Cricetulus griseus: one gene and its partners. The protein of the gene in region 4 binds, or shares a complex with, the protein of the main gene of each other region. Links are inferred from orthologs where the notes say so. Each region holds a gene or a part of one and is shown on either strand. Other genes may lie near its edges. The genes, in order: Eif3g, Eif3e, Eif3j and Eif3d.

Region 1 (5,201 bases), on a different chromosome or scaffold from region 4:
GTCTTCCTCCTCCTGGCAGTTTAGGTCCTAGTGGGGAATAGGGAAGAGTGGCTCAGAGCCGGCCGCTGTCCACCCCACCCCCACTGCACTTCTGGGTCTCCAGCTTCACCCTGCTCACCTCTTTGCTAGTGATGAATGTCATGGAGACATCATCGCTGACTGTGGTGGTGGCCACATTGGGCCCCGGTGGGTCAAACTCAGAGTAGCCAAACTTCTTCCAATTCTGGGTTCCCAGAAGAATAGGGAAAAATGGGGACAAAGGCAGTAAGATAGCAGAGTGGGGTACCCCAGACAGACAACCCCGTCAGAGCCTTAAATCCTACATTCTCGTGTCCCCAGAGGCCTCCCATGTGATAATGGTGACAATTCTCATTTCCTAAGCTAGGCTTGGTGGAATGTAACTGTTACCCTGACACTTAAAGGTGGAAACAGAAGATTCCGAGCTCAAGGTCACCCTGAGATACACAAGTTCAAAACCAGCCTGAGCTCTGCTGTATGAGGCCAAAACAAAGGAGTGGGGGAGAAGGGGGGAGGGTGTTGGTGAGGTGGTTCCGTGTGTAAAACCGGTTATTGTACATGAAAGAACCCAAAACTCTCATATAGAAAGTATGAGCCAGGTGGTAGCGGCACACATTTTTAATCCCAGCACTTGGGAGGCAGAGGCAGGCAGATCTATGTGAGTTCAAGGTCAGCCTGGTCTCCAGAGCCAGTGCCAAGACAGCCTCCATAGCTACACAGAGAAACCCTGTCTTGAAAAACAAAAAACAAACAAACCAAAGAGTTAAATATAGCCCAGGGGCAGGGGACCCTATCTAAAGAGAATAAGTTGTAAAGTGACATGACAGAGCAAGTCACCCAATCTCCTCCTCTAGTCTGAGTGTGAATATACAGCCATTCATGACCCCGAGACACACCCACACACCTACCCCCCCCCACACACACCCCATAAGGAGAGAAGCAAAAAAAAAACTCCAGGAAACAGCAAGGAGACTCAGAGTAGAATGGCACACAACTGTGCCACTGAAGTTTCTAGGCAGGTGCAGGGCGGGCTCCCACCAGGGAGGAAGCTGGAGGATGTCCAAGAGTCACTCAGATCACAGGAACCTTAAGCTAGTTAAATGGGACCACAAAGCTCCCTGCCTCCCTAGCCTGATCTAGAGGTTGGGAAGCCATGTCTTGCTAAATGCCTGGCATGGAGCCTTGCTCTCAATGTGTTGATGTCCTTCCTCCAGAAGCCCTTGCCCCTTGCTCAGTAGAGGCTGCTTGTTCCTTCAAGTAGACAGAGCAAAGGAGTAAGAATCTAAGTCAGGACCCAGGAGGCTAGGCAGAAGCATTTAGAATCTGAATACTACACAGCAAGAGCCTCTCAAAAATAACAACAAATGGGGCTGGAGAGATGGCTCAGAGGTTAAGAGCACTGAGTGCTCTTCCAGAGATCTGAGTTCAATTCCCAGGAACCACATAGTGGCTCACAACCATCTGTAATGAGATTTGGTTCCCTCTTCTGACATGCAGGCAGAACACTGTATACATAATAAACAAATAAATCAATCTTTAAAAATAAATAAATTAAGGCTGGGCGTTGGTAGCATACGCCTTTAATCCCAGCACTCAGGAGGCAGAGGCAGGCGGATCTCTGAGTTTGAGGCCAGCCTGGTCTCCAGAGCGAGTGCCAGGATAGGCTCCAAAGCTACACAGAGAAACCCTGTCTCGAAAAACCAAAAAATAAATAAAAATAACAACAAAACAAAAAACTCAAGAGGATGGATATGTCCCAGTTAGCAAATTATTTGTCACAAAAGTACCCATCAAAGTCCAATCCCAAGCACCCACAATGAAAAGCTGGGCACAGAAGCATGTGATTGTTATCTCCAAAGGTAGAGACAACAGGCTCACTGGGGATAGGTGGCCAGCTAGTCAAATCTAATTCCTGATGACAAAAGCCCATCTCAATGCAAGAGGAATTTGCTGGAGGAATGACACTGTACACAGGAGCACACAAAAGGGGGGAAAAAAATCTAACCTCAACTACTCCTGGACCCTGAATTTCCAGGGCCTGACACTAAATTTTTAATTCTACATCAACAGGAAAGGACTTCCCAACTCCTCTGGGCCAGTCCTGGAGACCCCTCCGCATACACACACCAAAGTGAGTCAGATGGGAGGGCCTCACCTTCCTCCTGGCCACAGCCTTCGATGCCTTCCGGGTCTCAATCCTGAAGGTCCTGACAATCTGAAGATGGAAAGGGAGAAAGGACTTCCAGAACCTCAAGGCCTTCCTTCCTCACCAATCCAAACCAACACTCACAGCCCTCATCGCCAATCCAAGCGCCCCCGCGGCCACCTCGGCCTCACCTTGAACTTCTTGCCATCTTCATCTACCTTGTACTCGGTCACAGTCTTTACGTTCCCGTTGATGACTTCCTTGGGAGGTGGCAGTGGCTCTGTGGGAAGACAACAGGAACTGAGTCCTGGATAACGGGGACTTGCTGGGAACGGGCTCGAGGGCCGGAAGGGGGAGGGGACGGCAGGGCTGGACGGGGCTCACCTCCGGGCAGTAGCTCCGGCTCTGGACTGGTGTCCCCGGTGGGCAGAGGGATTCCCTTCAGGAGCTCGCTGGTGACACACTTGTCTGTCAGAGGCAATGCGGGGGCGGCGGGGGGGACGGAAAGTGAAACACACGGCTGGGACGTCCAGGCCAAGGTGTGGGTGGGTTTGGGGACTCCGGGGGCTCGGCCCGCCCCGGGACAGGGCGCGGAGGGCCGCGCACAGGCACTCACACGCACGCACTCACGCACTCACTCACACGCACACGCGCACTCACCGTCCTCGCCCTCCTCTTCCACCTGGTCGGCCCAGCTGGGCTTCGAGCTGCGGAGACACGAGAAGGGTGAGCGGGTCCCGACCCCCGCGCCGCCCGGATCACCACACACCCAGCGCTGCCCCACACCGCCTCTCTGGAGAGCCCGCCACCGCCCCGTCCTCACTCAAAGTCGCCCGTCGGCATCGCGAAGTCTAGCTCCACGCAGCTCCCAGCCCGGGTAGAGAGCGGAAGCCCGGGGAGAACGAGGCTTCCGGTGCCGCCCCTGCAGCCTAGAGCGGCCAGACCGCGGCGAGCACAGCGCCTCCCTATGGACGAAGGCGGACACGCGACTCTCGTGTGCAGCGAAGTACGGGGACCCAAGCTGGAAGGAGGTCCCAGAGAGACCGTCCAGAACTTCTTAAACTCTCCGCACCCACTTAATTTATTGTTTTTTTGGGGGGGAGTGATGGGATTAGAAGTCACTGTATCACTCTGTAGCTAGGATAACCAGCAATTCCCGACAATCCTCCTGCCTCAACCTCCGAAGGGCTGAAATTATAGGCATGAGCACCACGCACTGATGTACCGAAGGCTGGGTTTGCACTCATAGCAATCTCCCCAGTTTATTCTCTTGTGGACTGAGCCCAGGTCTTCAGGCTTGGCAGTCAGCCTTCTTAGCTGCAAAGACATCTTGCAAGTTCTACCGGTGTCATCTTTTTTTTTTCCTCCGTTTTTTATTTGAATTAGAAACAACATTGTCAACAAAACAAAACAAAAATAAAAAACACCAAAAAAGGCCGGGCGTTGGTGACACACGCCTTTAATCCCAGCACTCGGAAGGCAGAGGCACAGATCTCTGAGTTCGAGGTCAGCCTGGTCTCCAGAGCGAATGCCAGGACAGGCTCCAAAGCTACACAGAGAAACCCTGTCTCGAACCCCCCCCCAAAAAAAAGGAAGAAAGCAACAACATTGTTTTACATGTTAATCCCAGTTCCCTCTCCCTCCCCTCCTCCTCTGCCTCCCTCCCCCAAGTAACACCCTACCTATCCCATGCCCTTTCTGCTCCCCAGGGAGGGTGAGGCCTTCCATAGGGGGGGGTCATCAGTTTGTCATATCCTTTGGGATAGGACGTAGGCCCTCCCCCGTGTGTCTAGGCTCAGGGAATATTCCTCTATGTGAAATGGGTTCCTACCAGTGTCATCTTAAACTATTTCCCATACTAAGCTTTTCTCCTTCCTCAGAGCTACACCCCCTAGAACTCTGGTATAATCTTCCTTTACTTGATTCTCAGCCTCTGGGAACATGCATTCCAAGAAGTTCTTTCTTAGTTTGGGTTGCTAGTGCAGATGGAAAGCACACGCTGGGCGCACTTGTGATGACCTATATTTCCAGCACGTAGAATTTGTATTATGGAGCCGTGTGTGTGTGTGTGTGTGTGTGTGTGTGTGTGTGTGTGTATGCGCGCGCGCGCGCGTGCGTGTGCAGGAGTGCATACCTTTAATCCCAGCACTTGTGGAGGCAGAGACAGGTGGGTCTCTGAGTTTGAGACCAACCTGGTCTACAAAGTAAGTGCATGACAGCCAGGGCTACAGAGAAACCCTGTCTTGAAAAACAAAACCAACCAAACAAAAACAAAACAAAAAATTTACTAGAGAAATGCAAAATCCAGACAAATGGCCTTTGCTTTGTTTTTGTTTTTGTTTTGTTTTTTCAAGACAAGGTTTCTCTGTGTAGCTTTGGAGACTCTCCTGGAGCTTGCTCTGTAGACCAGGCTGGCCTCAAATTCACAGAGATCTGCCTGCCTCTGCCTCACTAGTGCTGGGATTAGGGACATAAGCCACCATCACCTGTCTACAAATGGGAAAATTCTAAAAACAAAATTTAAGTGGACAGCATTGACTCAGTGGTTAAAGGCACTGGCTGCACTTCCAGCAGACCTGGGTTCCATTCTCAGCACCCAAATGGCAGCTCACAACTGTCCATAGCTCTAGTCCCAGGGATCCAATGACCTCATCCACAGGTGCCAGGCATGCACGTGGTGCACAAACACAGATACAGGCAAAACACCCACCCACATACAGTAATAATAAACTTAAAAGTACAGAAATAAGGTATTAATAAGATCTTTCCTTGGAGCCAGGTAATAGTTTAACTTATGAGCAAATTGTATGCAAAGACGTGACAGTAAGAAGGCTGTGCAGTGGGGAGTGGTGGCACACACCTGTCATCTGGCACTCAGATGGCTGAGGTGTAAGTGGTGACCTTTCAAACGATGCTTGCACTAGTGAAAACCTATAGAGAAATAGTTTTGCTCTTTTTCTGAGGAGCAGTCTTGTGTAGCCCATGCTGGTGTCAAGCTACTGATTCTACCTCCACCTCCCCAGTGAGGGGATGACAG
Region 2 (4,547 bases), on a different chromosome or scaffold from region 4:
AGCAAGACCCTGCCTCAGGCAGGAAGAGAGAAAATAAAGAGTTACTATTATATGATGAGCCACATAAGGCAAACACTGAGAGGATGTTATCAAGAGGATTATAAACAAAAATTTCCCATCATCACCAATGCTTACAAAACTATTAAAAACATACCAATTGTTATTTATTAAATTAATATAAGTATTATATTCTTATGGCAAACTATGAATTTGTGTACAGCATTAATCTCTAAAGACCTTTTTTAAAAAAATGACCATTTTTTTAATATTTAAAAAATATACTTACCCCATGCTTGTCTGCTAGGTAGTCAAATAACATCCGACCATCCCTTAATATAGGAAAAAGTGAGCATTATTATGGTTTATAGTCTGCAGAACACAAAATGTGCAGCTCTAACTTCTAAGTTATCATCTAACAAGTCACTTTAAACCTCTTAATACTTAAACAGAAACACAATAGTCCATGTCAAATGTTGATATAAGAATAAACACAAACTTAAATTTTACTTTCAGATTTCTTAAGCTCTGACTGAAGATCAAATTTGGATGGTACCTATGTCACAAACTTCCACAATTATTAGTCATATCACGCTGCTAAATAGCCCAACCTAACCTTTCTTCAATTAGTTCTGCATTAACTGCAGATCCAGACAGACCAGTAAAAGACGAGTGTAACAGGGAGCCCACTCAAGAACGAATCAAAAGTCAACGCTTATCTTCACATCTTCAAAACAAAAGTGTTTTCTCGGGCTTCACCACGTGTGGGAATGTGCTGTGGCCTGTGGCACACTTTGGGAGTTCTTGACAGCATTAAATTACTGAATACCAAGTGTACAAAATTCCAACTTTCACTGTCCTCTGGCTCACTTTCTGATCGAGTACAAGAAAAACACTATATGATCAACAAAGACTTAATGAGACTGATAGAAAAATACCATTATTAAGTCTATTAGATGACAAATTTCTAACAGTTGAGTCCTTCGTTTGCTCTCAGCTAAGTTCCTGCCTTAGTCTACTACTTTTCCAGCGCTGTGATGACACATGCTGAAGCAACGCAGCCCGTGGAGGAAAGGGTTCACCTGGCTTAAACTTCCCAACCCGTCACAGAGGAGAGAGTCAGGGCAGGAATTCAAGGCAGCAACCTAGAGGCCCAACTGGCTTGCTCAGTTTGCTTTCTTTTACAACTCAGGAGAACCTGCCCAGGGGTAACACTGCCCCGCCCCACCCCCAGAAAAATCACTAATCTAGAAAATGCCCCACAAATATGGCTACAGGCCAATCTGATGGAGGCGATTCCTCAACTGAAGTTCCCTTTCCCAGATGAGTCAAGCTTGTGCCAAGTTAACAACTGATCAGCAGTGCCCATTCCATTATGGAAGGCACTGTCTGTCTACTCTGTGGTGAACACATTACACACGAGTTCTACTCTTCATTTCATTGTCTCCAATCTTTCCTTTGGATATTTATTTTAATTATGTGCACATGTGTCTATATGTGTGCGGATCGGGCACATGTCTGGAGGTGCCTACAGAGGCCAGAGGCACAGCCCCCGGAGCTGGACTTACCCGCCGCAGTTGAGTCACCAGAACTGGGGCTGGAAACTAAGGCCCGGCCCTCGGCAGCAGGACATGCTCCTTACTCTTAAGCCATCTCTCTAGTTCCCATTCCCAATCTTCACATGCCTAGTACATCCTAAAATGTCTGTTCTCGCCTAACATCTGGATTACGTCAACCTTCACTCCCTGCATACTGACGTGAGGCCTCAACAGCTAGAATTACTTTGTACTCTTACAAGTGAACTAACAGTGGAGATGCACGCGCATTAAAGGAGCTTTCTCTTTGACCACAGCTTTTACCTGTGCATTTGTAAGTATCTCCACACATGCGTGCAGTGTGAAGAGGCAGGGCACACAGCATATTACAGCATGTCAGAAGAACTGTAATGTGTGCAGGGTTTCTAACACTATCAGGTTACACAAAATCACTTACAAATTTGGTTAGATCATGTGTTCTAGAATCCAACAGCACGGCAAAGTCACTAAGAATTTCTCAAGTGAATGCACTGGTAGCTAAGACATATTACAGCAATAACGTTCAGGTTTAGTACATTTTACTTTGAAATACTTGTAATAACTCCAAAGGCTTCAAAGTGTTAAGCAAGGTTAAGGCAACATGCCTCATTTGGAAAGCAGACAAGAAAGTGTTTCTAGCAGAAAGAAAATTAGAAATAAATAATCTTAGCTGGGATGAGTACAGACACTGAAAGATGTAAGAGAGTGTAAGTGCTAAGTGAGCTCAGGGTTCTCCCTCAGAAAGCAACCCAAGCACTCTAGGCCCCCAGCAGGAGCAGGGCTTTCTCCCTAACACTGAGCTGGCTGACTCTAGGAAGGAGTTCGGGAAAGGCAGGTCCTGAGCACAACAAGCTTAGCATCCTGACCTCTACACTTGCCCTCCAGTGTGAGGCTCAAAGTCTCCAGACAGTACCAAATGCCCCCTAAGAAGGGCCAGGGCACACTCAACTGTCAGGGCACGCTAAGGCATCAACAACTGGTTTAAAAAGTTTCTTTAAAAAATTTAGTATTGGGGCTGGAGAAGTGGCTCGGCTGCTAAGGGCACCTATTGCTCTCGCAGAGGACCTGTGCTCAATTCCCAGTCTACTGGGGGCTCACAACCACCTTCCCTCCAGTTCCCAGGGGTCTTACCCCTCTTCGGACCCACCCCCAAGCACACTAGGCATATACTCACACACACACACTTGCAGACAAAGCACTGTACACACAAGAAAATAAGTTACAATTAACACTTATTGTTATGAAATACCCGCCCCTTAAAAAATAAAGACAAATGAAGCCGGGCGTTGGTGGCACACGCCTTTAATCCCAGCACTCGGGAGGCAGAGGCAGGCGGATCTCTGTGAGTTCGAGGCCAGCCTGGTCTCCAGAGCGAGTGCCAGGATAGGCTCCAAAGCTACACAGAGAAACCCTGTCTCGAAAAACAAAACAAAACAAAACAAAACAAAAGACAAATGGAAACAAACAAACAAGGCACTCACTTAGATCGTGAACTTTTACTACAGGGACCTAGTTTCACCTGTATATGAATCCAGGAAGAGAACTTCTAGGATTCAAGTTCACAGATTACCTGGTTGACTGCATCTGCCTTGTAGTTTCTGGGTCTTCAAACATCTTCACAATTGGTTCCGTTTCTGCCTGGAGCTGTTTCAGTTGTGCAACAACTGTGGTTCTTTTTTCTCTCAAAGCTAGTGAGAAACACGAGTAAGAGAACGTTACCCACCACTCCACGAGACTGTCTAGAGAAATTAGTTTCTCTTAATTCCAACCACACACTTAGTTATCCCTTCATTCACACGCCAGGAACCACCAACTCAACACCTTCACGCTAGAACAAAGGCAACACACTAATGGCTTTACATGTTATTACTAGGTGGAATGGAATTTAATCTAGTCAAGAATCTTTTTTAATATCAACAAGCTGTAATTCCACAACCCTAACTTTACAGATCCCGTTTACTATACTATCCCCAGAATAAAGAGAAAACTCACACATAACCTGCATCTCAGATTAATTCTCAGAGACTAGCAGTCATTAGAGTTGTGGTGGCATGCGTTTGTACTTCTCGACACTTAGGAAGCTGTGATAAAGAGGACAATCTCGGGGCTGGAGACACAGCTCTGCGGGTAAGAGCACTCGTTCCTCTTGCAGAGGATCTCAGTTTGATCCCCAGCAGCCACATGGCAGCTCACAACCATCTCTTAGTACAGTCACAGGGGACGTGAAGCTCTCTTTAGATCTTCTGGGATACCAGGCACACACATGGTGTACCAACATACAAGCAGTCAAACATCATACACATAAAATTTAAAAAAAGACCCTTCACTCCCATCACGAACTAAATTTAAATAGTTACTGCCTATAAACTAAAGAAAGTTATATTGACTTTAACAATGTCTTCATTCTATAGTGCTCTTCCTACAGCAGTGTTTTCTTCTCCACACCCGGATACTTGTTTTATTCCAAATTTTACTTTATTTATAATTATTTTCAGTATGAATGATGGGGATTATCGGTGTGAGTGCAGGGTTGGTTCTCTTATTGTGGGTTCTGGGGAGCAAACTGAGGTCAGGGGGCATTTGCAGCAAATGCTTTCCCATAGGAGCCACCTGTCTGGCCCAACATGAACTCACTGCCCCCCCCCCAGCATTTCTCTATAAACCTCTGCTCAAGACACATTCAAAACCAAAAGCAAAACAGCTACCAAGTTCATGCACAAAAAAAAAAAAAAAATGAGAACCTGCTATCAAAATCTGAAAAACAGCAATTTTAAACAAGAGCTCTTTGCTGTCCAGAATTCCTTACACGTACAGAAGAGGGGGCAGGAGCAATAGTATTTCCTATGCTTTCTTTCTTTCTTTCTTTCTTTCTTTCTTTCTTTTCTTTCTTTTTCTTTTTTTTTTTTTTTTTGAGGCAGAGCTCTGGCAGGCTTAGAACTTGCTGTGTAGATCAGGGTGTCTTCAAGTTCAGAGACT
Region 3 (4,547 bases), on a different chromosome or scaffold from region 4:
CCATCTATATACTGGCAGCACTAAGTAGACTCTGAGTTGTTAAAAACAGCTTATGAAGTTGGGAGGGAGAGTAATGGGAAAGAAGGGAAGGGAGGAACTAGGGGTTTGATTTAAACACATAAATATTAAATGTATGCAAGTATATAATTCTCAAATAAACTACTGTATTTGAGTAAAACACAAATTACAAAAACCTTACCAGTTTATTCAAAAAGGAAGAATTACACAGGCGGTGGTGGTAGCACACACCTTTAGTCCCAGCACTTGGGAGGCAGAGGCAAGCGAATGACTTTGAGGCCAGCCTGGTCTACAGAGTGAATTCCAGGACTGACTTCATAGCTACTGAGAAACCCGGTCTCAAAAAAACAAAACAAAAACAAAGTAAAATTATTAAAATTTTTTGGCAGAGTCGGGCATAGTGGCACACACCTTTACTACCAGCACTTCAGGCAGCCTGAGTTACAGAGCAAGTCCCAGAACAGCGAAGGCTACACACAGACATGGTCTCCCCTGTAATCCCCTCCCGCAAAAGAGCAATACTGGGGACTGACTGAACCATAGCACCTCCCACATAGGTAAGCACTCTACCAATAATCTCATGCTACATCTCTTTCTTACAGCAGTAAAACAACCTTATGTATGTATGTATTTATACATGTATAAATACACACATATATACCTGTTTCTAAATATCAGGTATTTATGCAATCATGAAAAAAAAAATCCCTTCTCAGGGTTTAAAGGTAAAATGTATATTAGTTATATTAAGCAAAGCAAAAATAAATGAAATCTGGCAACACATTAACAGTATTAAGTGATATGTATTACTTGTTTTTGAAACAGTCTCACACTCAATGTAACCCTGGTTCGCCTAGAACTGCTATGTAGACCAGGCTAGCATCCAACTTTTCGAAATCCTCCTCCTTCTGTCTCCTAAGTGCCAGGATTATAAGTATGAATACCACCAGATCTGGCTTTATGAGCCCAGGCCTTACAATACAAGCCAAGCTATTACAAATTACAAATGTAATTCAGACTTCCAGAGTACTGGGATTTCAGGAGTGCAACACCATGCCTGATTATTTTCCTACTTTCATATTTGAGGATTTTTCTTAACAAAAAGTAAAGAAGGCCAGGGAATGATAGCCCATGCCTTTAATCCCTGCACTCAGAAAGCAGAGGCCAACCTGGTCTACAGAGTGACTTCCAGGACAGAAAAGTCTACATAGAGAAAGCATGCTCTCCGGGCATTGGTGGCATACATCTTTAATCCTAGCACTCGGGAGGCAGAGGCAGTTGGTCTACAGAGCAAGTTCCAGGACAGGCTCCAAAGCAAGACAGAGAAACCCAGGGGGAGTGGGGGGAGAGGGGAGAGAGAGAGAGAGAGGGAGGGAGGGGAGAGAATGCTCAAAAAAACAAAAAGGAAAAAAAGTGAGGAAAAATATTAGAGTTTTTTCCACACTGTGTATGGAAAAGATCTCTACAGTAAATAAAAGTGGAAACTACACAAAAAAGGACAGCCAGTTAGTGATGTCTGTAATCTCAGCATTTGAAAAGTGGGGGCAATGGGAAACCAAGTTCTAGGTCACCCTAGGTTATACAGCTAAAGACTATCACAAAGAGGCAGGGATAATACATACAGAAATATAAAGATATCTTGGACAAACCAAGCAGTAGTGGCACACACCTGTAATCCCAGCATTCAGAAGGCAGGGGTAGGTGGATCTCTGTGAGTTGGCGTCAACCAAAGTGAGTTCTAGGACAGCTAGAGCTGTTACACAAAGAAATCCAATCTCAAAAACCAAAAAAAAAAAAAAAAAAAAAAAAAAAAAAAAAAAAAAAAAAGTATCTTGGACAGATAAGGGACAAGTGTTTACATGAGATGTGGGATAGTGGAGACAGAATAAGTAACTAAGGGGTTAGGAGTGTTTTGTAATAATTTTTATATTTGAATTATGAAAATGTTTCCTATTAAAATAAATACAGCAATATTGCTGGATCCTGCTACAAAATAATCAAGAATAAACCACTTTAGGGCATGACAAACATTTGTTTGCTGTGTTCACTGTGTATAACTGATTAGAAATAGCCACAGGTGGGCTAGGCATATAGCTCAGTGGTAGAGGGATCACTTACATGCATGAGGCCCTGAATTCAATCCCAGCACTGAAAGAAAAAAAACAAAACTGCAGGTTCTAGCAAAAAAAAATAATAAAAAAAATAAAAAAATTTAAAAAAAAGAAAGAAAGAAAAGAAAAAAACAAAAACAAAAAAACCATTAAGGGTGGTCACTGCCCAATCTAACTGTTATGATGAAACTGAAAATATTTTCAGATATAAGACTTCTGGGTTCGCAAACTACAAATCAATTTTTTTTCTGGGATTCACCTATCTTACAGTATATCCATTTTGTCTTTACAGAGCCCTTCAAATTGCTATGTAATATTTGCAGCCAGTTAAGACACTGTACCACAGCTGGGCGTTGGTGGCACATGCCTTTAATCCCAGCACTCGATAGGTAGATAGGCAGAGGCAGGCAGACCTCTGTGAGTTCAAGGCCAGTCTGGTATCCACAGTGAGTGCCAGGACAGGCTCCAAAGCCACAGAGAAACCCTGTTTTGCGGGGGTGGGGTGGGGGGGAGACGGCACACACTGTACCACAACCGACACATTATGAATTCTGTATACATTTTAAGGAAAGTGATAGAACTTACCCTCTTTCTAATTTCTTCTTGCCTTTTCTTCTGCTGCCGTTCTTTCTCTTTTATCTTTTCTGCTATTTTTTTCTTTTCTGAAATCTTTACTTCTGAAAGAAATATTTTATTTACGATTATATTGAACACTTTCTAGTCTATGGCTACGGCAGACATGATGCTTGATTGAACACCTGAAGAGACGAAACCTTCCCTAGCTTTCAGAGTCACATATTCTGGAAATGATAAAGTTTTAGTACTCTTCCTTTTCATTTCAAATCTCACCCCGGGAGATGCAAATAGACAAGGGAAGATCATTCAAATAACCATTTCCTCTACTTTCTATCTCCTACACCTACACTTTTCTCCAACAGAAAACCAGCAGGTACTTAAAGAAAAAGTATAGAGGGGCATCTGGTTTAAAACAATGAAGGAATGAATATCAGTGACTCACCTGGTTTTACTTCAGCTTCCTCTTTATTTTCATCATCATCATCATCCCAGTTATCCTGAAGACAAGAACCTCCATTAGTAATTCTTACATGTTTTCTTTCCTATGTGATATCTATGGTTAACCTAAATATGCACAAACAAGCTTGTTGGTACTTTTTGGTATTATAGCCTTTATAACAGTAAGGCCCTTTGTCTAGGGTTATCTTCCCATTTTAAGTCTACTTTTGTATCTCAGGAGTGTAAGAAGTTTTACACGTTTCATTTTGTGGTTGTTCCTAGTATTCTGTAAATTCCTATAAATTTTTAAATTCTGTTGCTTTTATAGGTTTCCCTTGCCCTCATCATGCTTTATAATTAGGTATTTGTATATAGCAAACGCTATTGGGCTTTGAACATTAGTAATTTGGGAGGACACTTAAGTTAGGTTCATCATCAATTCTTTAAAGTTTTCTAATCCAAATATCTTCAATGTTCCAAAATTCCAAAGATTTTTGAGTACCAACATGTTGCCACAAGAATATTCCACACTTACAACTGGGCCTAGACCACAAATCTGAATGTAATCCCAGCGACCTGAGAGGTAGGGTAGATCAATGTTTAAGGCCTGCCTCTACAAAGTAAGAAATCCTGTTTCAAAATTAAGTAAAAACAATAGGAAGCTAGGGAATATGGTAAATGCTTGCCTAGTATGCATAAAATTCAATCCCCAGTACTACCAAAAAATAATAAAATTCCACATATGATCCATTGATAGATCTTTAGTCAAATAGAACAAATGCTTAAAATAGTGTGTAAAATTACCTTCCAGCTATGTGTGTAAAGTATATTTAAAACAAAAAAATTTCATGTTTACTTGGGTCCCATACCATTATGTGTACACATATACTCCTCAAAATCTGAAGGAAAAAAAGTCCCTAAATGGAAGGAAATACTTGTGGCCCCAAGCTTCTGAATAAGTGATATACTATACAACCCATACCACATAGCCTGAAAACAACAGAGTGTACTTTTGAGACAGGGTTTCACTACATATTCCATGCTGGCCTCCAACACAGAGATCTACATGCCTCTGCCTCCAAGGCATCGAAGACATGAAGGTCCTCCATACCAGTTTTACTAATTCTTCTAATCGTACTAGCTCAATCTAGTTCTGTTTACACTAGTGAGCAGAACAGAAATAGGCACCTCTCTTAATGAAACTGTCCCTCAAATACAATAAAATCTCCAAGTCACTGGCTTTTGCTACCTCTGGATTTAAGTCAGACAATCTCAAAGAATTCACCATGTTTTCTTCTAGAATATATATGGTTTCATTGTTTTGTTTTGTTTTTTTCATATATTTACATCCCTGATCCACCTACAGTAAAGAACCACAGATCTTGCCATATAGACTAAGCTAGT
Region 4 (4,547 bases):
GGAAAGTTTTGTGCAAGTGAACAACACACAGCCACAGTGGTGGTGTGAGGACTCAGAGCCGAAGCCCACGGAAGCACTGAAGTGGTCTCTTCCCTTGGACTCCAGGAGGATGGGAGGGATTGACACATGACCCATTCTCAGGACCAAGCAATATTCAAGACCAATAATACCAGTGCCCCGAGCTGCTCCCCAGTCAGGCTACTTACCGAAGTCAGAGTTGTCCCTCTTGTCAAAGAAGAGTTTAGACCCGACTCTCTGCACTACAATGTCCCAGGAGTACACAGAGCGTGTGCAGCTCATCAGTGTGGCTAGGATGGCATCAGTGGCAAACACATTGCCCTGCGTTTTTGCCAGCTGCAAGGAGGCAGAGAGGGAGAGAGAAAGTGAAGTGAGGATGCTGAGGTCACCAGGGAGGGAAAAGACTTCCCCAGTCACCCAAGAAGGCTGAAGCAAACTGGCTGGCATGGCTGCTCCGTCACTGTTGTGGAAGCATACACCACACTCAGCTCACTAGTTTCTAGTTTCTGTCTTTGCAGGTGAGAAAGCTAAAACTCTAGTGCGATACGGTCTGCCTGGCAAAGCTGGGGTCTGAGCATGCTTTGGCTTACCACATTTATATCCACCCAGCAACAAGTCTCCGCTTCCATCAAATTCTAAGTCTGATCCAGAATAATTTTATCTAAGGGCTGGACTATGTACACAGTCAGCTGTTTCTGTGAAGTCTTCACCAGTCAATTCACCAAATGTTCAGGAGAACAAAAAAGACCATGTCTAATCAACATGCACATGCTCTTTCTGTCAAGTTCCCCAAACAACAGAATAACAACTGCTTATGTCTTAGGCGTCCTGAGCAATCCAGAAAGATCTGAAACATGGAAGATTGCCAGGACTGACAGTCCACATCAGTCATAAAGAAGCACCCATGAGTTTTGGTATTCATGGGGTGGTCCTGAATCAACCCCGTGACTACTGAGGGGACATGTCCATATCTCACACCCTGTTCTTTCTGGGCCTCAGCAACATTCCTAAAAATGGGCAAAGGGTGCACACCTTCCGGATGACAGGGTCGTCTGTGGTGGTAACGGTGTGGAAGATGCGCTTGATGCTCCGCAGAGGCTTCTCGCTCCGCGTGGTGATGCGGTCAAAGGCTTTGTCATAGTACTCCAGTGCGCCACAGCACTCGCTGAGGGAAGAGGGGAACGGGAAGCCAGAGAGATCCTCCCCACTCCTCTCTTATGCCGTGAATCACAAGTCTTATCTACTAAATACAGCGGTACACAACTGTAATCCCAGCATCAGGGAGGCAGACGAAGGAGAGCTGACCCAGCTACATGAGTGCTTTGTCCCAGAAAGAAACTTTACCCAGAAGTCTAATACGTATGAAAGGGATGGAATCAATCTCCTCGGAAAGGAGGCAAATCTTCACTGCCAGCTGTTTTCCTGTCCCAGCTCCAGAACACAGGGAAACACGCCTTCCCCTTTAGCCACCCTCCCCTGGGAACAGTCAGTTACAGGCACCTTGGTGGGTGGTCCTCCAGCTCCCCACTGCCTTAGTGCCTCACCCCTGCTCTGTGTACGAGGATGCACAATATGAAGCTTCCTGAAGGTCTGTCATGCTACTTTAGCCCAAAGTGCTCAGAGACTGACCTACTGTGCTTCTGTGCAGATACCAAGGGTGGAGAGAAACTGGGACAAATCTGCTTTGGAGTTGCTAGGGCTTAAGGAGACATAGACCCCAGCTGGTCCATATGCCCGAGTGCGGTGGGCAGCAGTGAAGAAGCTACTCACATGTCTTGAGGCTCCGACACTTCCAAGTAGCGCATTTTCATCAGTTGAGGAAAATCCATCTCCTCCTTCACCTCCCAGTCACTGCGAACTTCAACTGAAGAGTCTCGGGGTTTCTGCAGATAAAACAGGTTAAGATATTCATAACCTAAGGTTTCTCTGTGTAGTACTGGCTGTCTTGGAACTCACTCTGTAGACCAGGCTGGCCTTGAACTCCTGAGTGCTGGGATTGAGGCTATGTGGTCCTGGCTTTGTTTTTTTTTTTTAGACAGCATCTGTGACTTGTAGAAGCTCATTGAAGGGATCAGGGACAAAACATGGGAACTCTCAGGGTATTAATTACGTATTTTTGACACAACAAGCACCAAATTTTCACCAAAGTGTAATGTCTTAACATCATTTCCCCTTCGCAGCACTGGGGAATGAATCCATGTTTTTGTGGCAAGGCAGCCAGTTCACTGCTAGGCTATACTCCTAGCCCAAACTCCACTGTTGCTCATGCCTGCTATTCTCATAGCTTTTACAAAGGTGGTAATTATTCCCTAACAGTGCAAAGGGGAAAGGTGAATGGCTGAAGGAAATGTGGCAATCTATACATAGAAATGCTATTTGGCAATAAGAAGTACAGCTGGTTTTCCATATCTGCAGGTTTTATACTTGTGGGTTCTGTATCCCAGGGTCATGTGTGAACTGAAAATATTCCAGGTATTCAGCATGCTGAAAGTCCTACTGGGGGGCTGAGGCAGGAGGACCACTTGAGATTAAAAGTGATACTTTCAACCCATATAAATAACCCGAGGTGAGTTAAGGTCCATGAGGAGATGCACATATGATAGTTGCAAATGCTACACCATTTTATGCAAAAGAAATCTTGGCTTCTTTGAGGGCACCCGGAAACAATCCTTAACAGAGAAGAAGGAAAAAATGAAAAGACTGCACTAGTACAGGCTGCAACAGGGCATATACCTTAAAAATATCACACTAGCTGGGTGGTGGTGGCACTTGCCTTTAATCCCAGCACTCGGGAGGCAGATCTCTGAGTTCGAGACTAGCCTGGTCTACAAGAGCCAGTTCCAGGACAGGCTCCAAAGCTATACAGAGAAACTCTGTCTTGAAAAACCAAAAATGCCATGCTAAACAAAGGGCACAGATTTTGATTTTGTTTACATGAAATGCACACATCAGGGAAATTCACAGTCAGCAAAGAGCAGTGCTGGCTAGGACTAGGGAGGACAGGACATGCCTTCGGGCACAAGGTTTCTTTGTAAGAGGGATGAAGGTCTAAAGCTGTCCACAGTAACCATACACTAGAGACCACATAACTGCACTTCATGGCTGCTATCTCTAAGGATAAAAAGAAAGCAAACCCACCCAATTCCTAACAGAATTCTGGTATGGACACACTACCTGTGACTTCTGGTCCCATTTCTGTCTCACTCCAAATTGCTTCTGGAATTTTTTCTGCAAGCGAATTCGTTCTCTGAAAAGACAGACAGAAAGAATGCTGTGTTTTCAGTAGCTTCTTCTAGTTGAATTGAAGTATCTTTCCTGGCTGCTACCAGGAAAGAAAATGCTGGCTTAGGGATGAAGAGACCATGCTGGCACACACTAGGGTGAGAGCAGAGGCACACTACCCCCCAGAACCAAATGTAGGGGTGCATTCAGCCCAGTTACTGGCAATCCTGGCTAGGGTGTGGTTTCTTTTCCAATAGTGAAAGACAGCCAATCCCTGTCCTGGCTCCTTGACTTCTGAATACAGTCCATTTGGGAACACAGCTTTGACCTGGCAGGAAGGGACGCTTACCTCTCTTTCTGCTTGGCACTCTTGGGCAGGGTCTGTAGGTTGAACTGCACCATGTTCCGGCGATCTTTGTCTCTACGGAGGTTCCGCTTGGAAGCAGGAAGAGACCCGTGTTACCCTCTTAAGAGTCATAGCTTATTGGTATCTTGAGAGCAAATCTAGGGTGTGAAGTCCCCAGTTTCTCATCTCTGTTCTTTTACTCTATAGCTTCCACAGTATTTGGGGAGAAGCACTTGTGTTAGCTTGGACTCATTTCCACTAATGTAGGTTTACTGGTTTTACTGGAGTTGCTAAGTTTGCATCTTAATGTAGTACCCAACCAAACCATCTAATTAACAAAGCCTGTATGTTGCAATTAAGTGAGAAAATAGGTTCCTAGCACAGCTGTGTGATGTCTGACCTACTGTAAACAGAAATCTAAAGTCCTTCAAAACATCCTTGGAAAAGTTATTCTGTTAAAACCCAGTCACTGAATGGCCACTTGGGATTGGACAGAGGCCTGCAATTTCCTGTCTCATTGGTGTTTCCAAGACAGTTGCTAAGCAGCAGAAATTCTCACAGTAAGAGCTCCTCCAAGGCACTTTAGGCTGCCAGCCCGTGGCCTACCTGTGCGAATCTCATCCGGTTCCGCTGGTAGGCAGTCTTCTGTGTGCGCGCCGTGTCCACTAGCTGGAAGCTCGTCTCATCCTCCTCATGGAAATATGCATACTGACTTCCCCCACCAAACTGAGAGGAGTACTTGTCTGCAGGCAAAGGTGACAGTGTGTGCTAAGTGCTCCCTAAAGGCTACACATGGCAGTCTTGAGCCTTGCTCTCTCAAGCGTGGTTTTGGGACCTGCAGCACTTTTGGGGACCACAGCCAAGAGCTTGTGAGGTGTGCAGACTTACTGCCCCTGTCCAGACCTGACAGATGGGAACCTGTATTTAAACATGATCCCAGGTGATTCATACACACATTTAA

What was found.
Region 1: Eif3d (region 4) and Eif3g share a complex: the UniProt entries of both Homo sapiens proteins name them as parts of the eukaryotic translation initiation factor 3 (eIF-3) complex. The link is inferred for Cricetulus griseus from reciprocal best matches to the Homo sapiens genes EIF3D and EIF3G.
Region 2: Eif3d (region 4) and Eif3e share a complex: the UniProt entries of both Homo sapiens proteins name them as parts of the eukaryotic translation initiation factor 3 (eIF-3) complex. The link is inferred for Cricetulus griseus from reciprocal best matches to the Homo sapiens genes EIF3D and EIF3E.
Region 3: Eif3d (region 4) and Eif3j share a complex: the UniProt entries of both Homo sapiens proteins name them as parts of the eukaryotic translation initiation factor 3 (eIF-3) complex. The link is inferred for Cricetulus griseus from reciprocal best matches to the Homo sapiens genes EIF3D and EIF3J.

The regions. Positions count from the first base shown.
Region 1 is NC_048597.1:133,767,972-133,773,172, forward strand, and holds the start of Eif3g (eukaryotic translation initiation factor 3 subunit G), read right to left. Parts: upstream 3,099-5,201; 5' UTR 3,008-3,098; coding exon 2,988-3,007; intron 2,872-2,987; coding exon 2,825-2,871; intron 2,633-2,824; coding exon 2,549-2,632; intron 2,445-2,548; coding exon 2,356-2,444; intron 2,234-2,355; coding exon 2,174-2,233; intron 224-2,173; coding exon 119-223; intron 28-118; coding exon 1-27. UniProt on the Homo sapiens protein: RNA-binding component of the eukaryotic translation initiation factor 3 (eIF-3) complex, which is required for several steps in the initiation of protein synthesis.
Region 2 is NC_048603.1:9,462,751-9,467,297, reverse strand, and holds part of Eif3e (eukaryotic translation initiation factor 3 subunit E), read right to left. Parts: intron 3,260-4,547; coding exon 3,142-3,259; intron 330-3,141; coding exon 287-329; intron 1-286. UniProt on the Homo sapiens protein: Component of the eukaryotic translation initiation factor 3 (eIF-3) complex, which is required for several steps in the initiation of protein synthesis.
Region 3 is NC_048599.1:56,399,217-56,403,763, forward strand, and holds part of Eif3j (eukaryotic translation initiation factor 3 subunit J), read right to left. Parts: intron 3,203-4,547; coding exon 3,148-3,202; intron 2,807-3,147; coding exon 2,715-2,806; intron 1-2,714. UniProt on the Homo sapiens protein: Component of the eukaryotic translation initiation factor 3 (eIF-3) complex, which is required for several steps in the initiation of protein synthesis.
Region 4 is NC_048595.1:375,063,166-375,067,712, forward strand, and holds part of Eif3d (eukaryotic translation initiation factor 3 subunit D), read right to left. Parts: intron 4,330-4,547; coding exon 4,193-4,329; intron 3,676-4,192; coding exon 3,590-3,675; intron 3,266-3,589; coding exon 3,193-3,265; intron 1,902-3,192; coding exon 1,789-1,901; intron 1,184-1,788; coding exon 1,051-1,183; intron 355-1,050; coding exon 207-354; intron 1-206. UniProt on the Homo sapiens protein: mRNA cap-binding component of the eukaryotic translation initiation factor 3 (eIF-3) complex, a complex required for several steps in the initiation of protein synthesis of a specialized repertoire of mRNAs.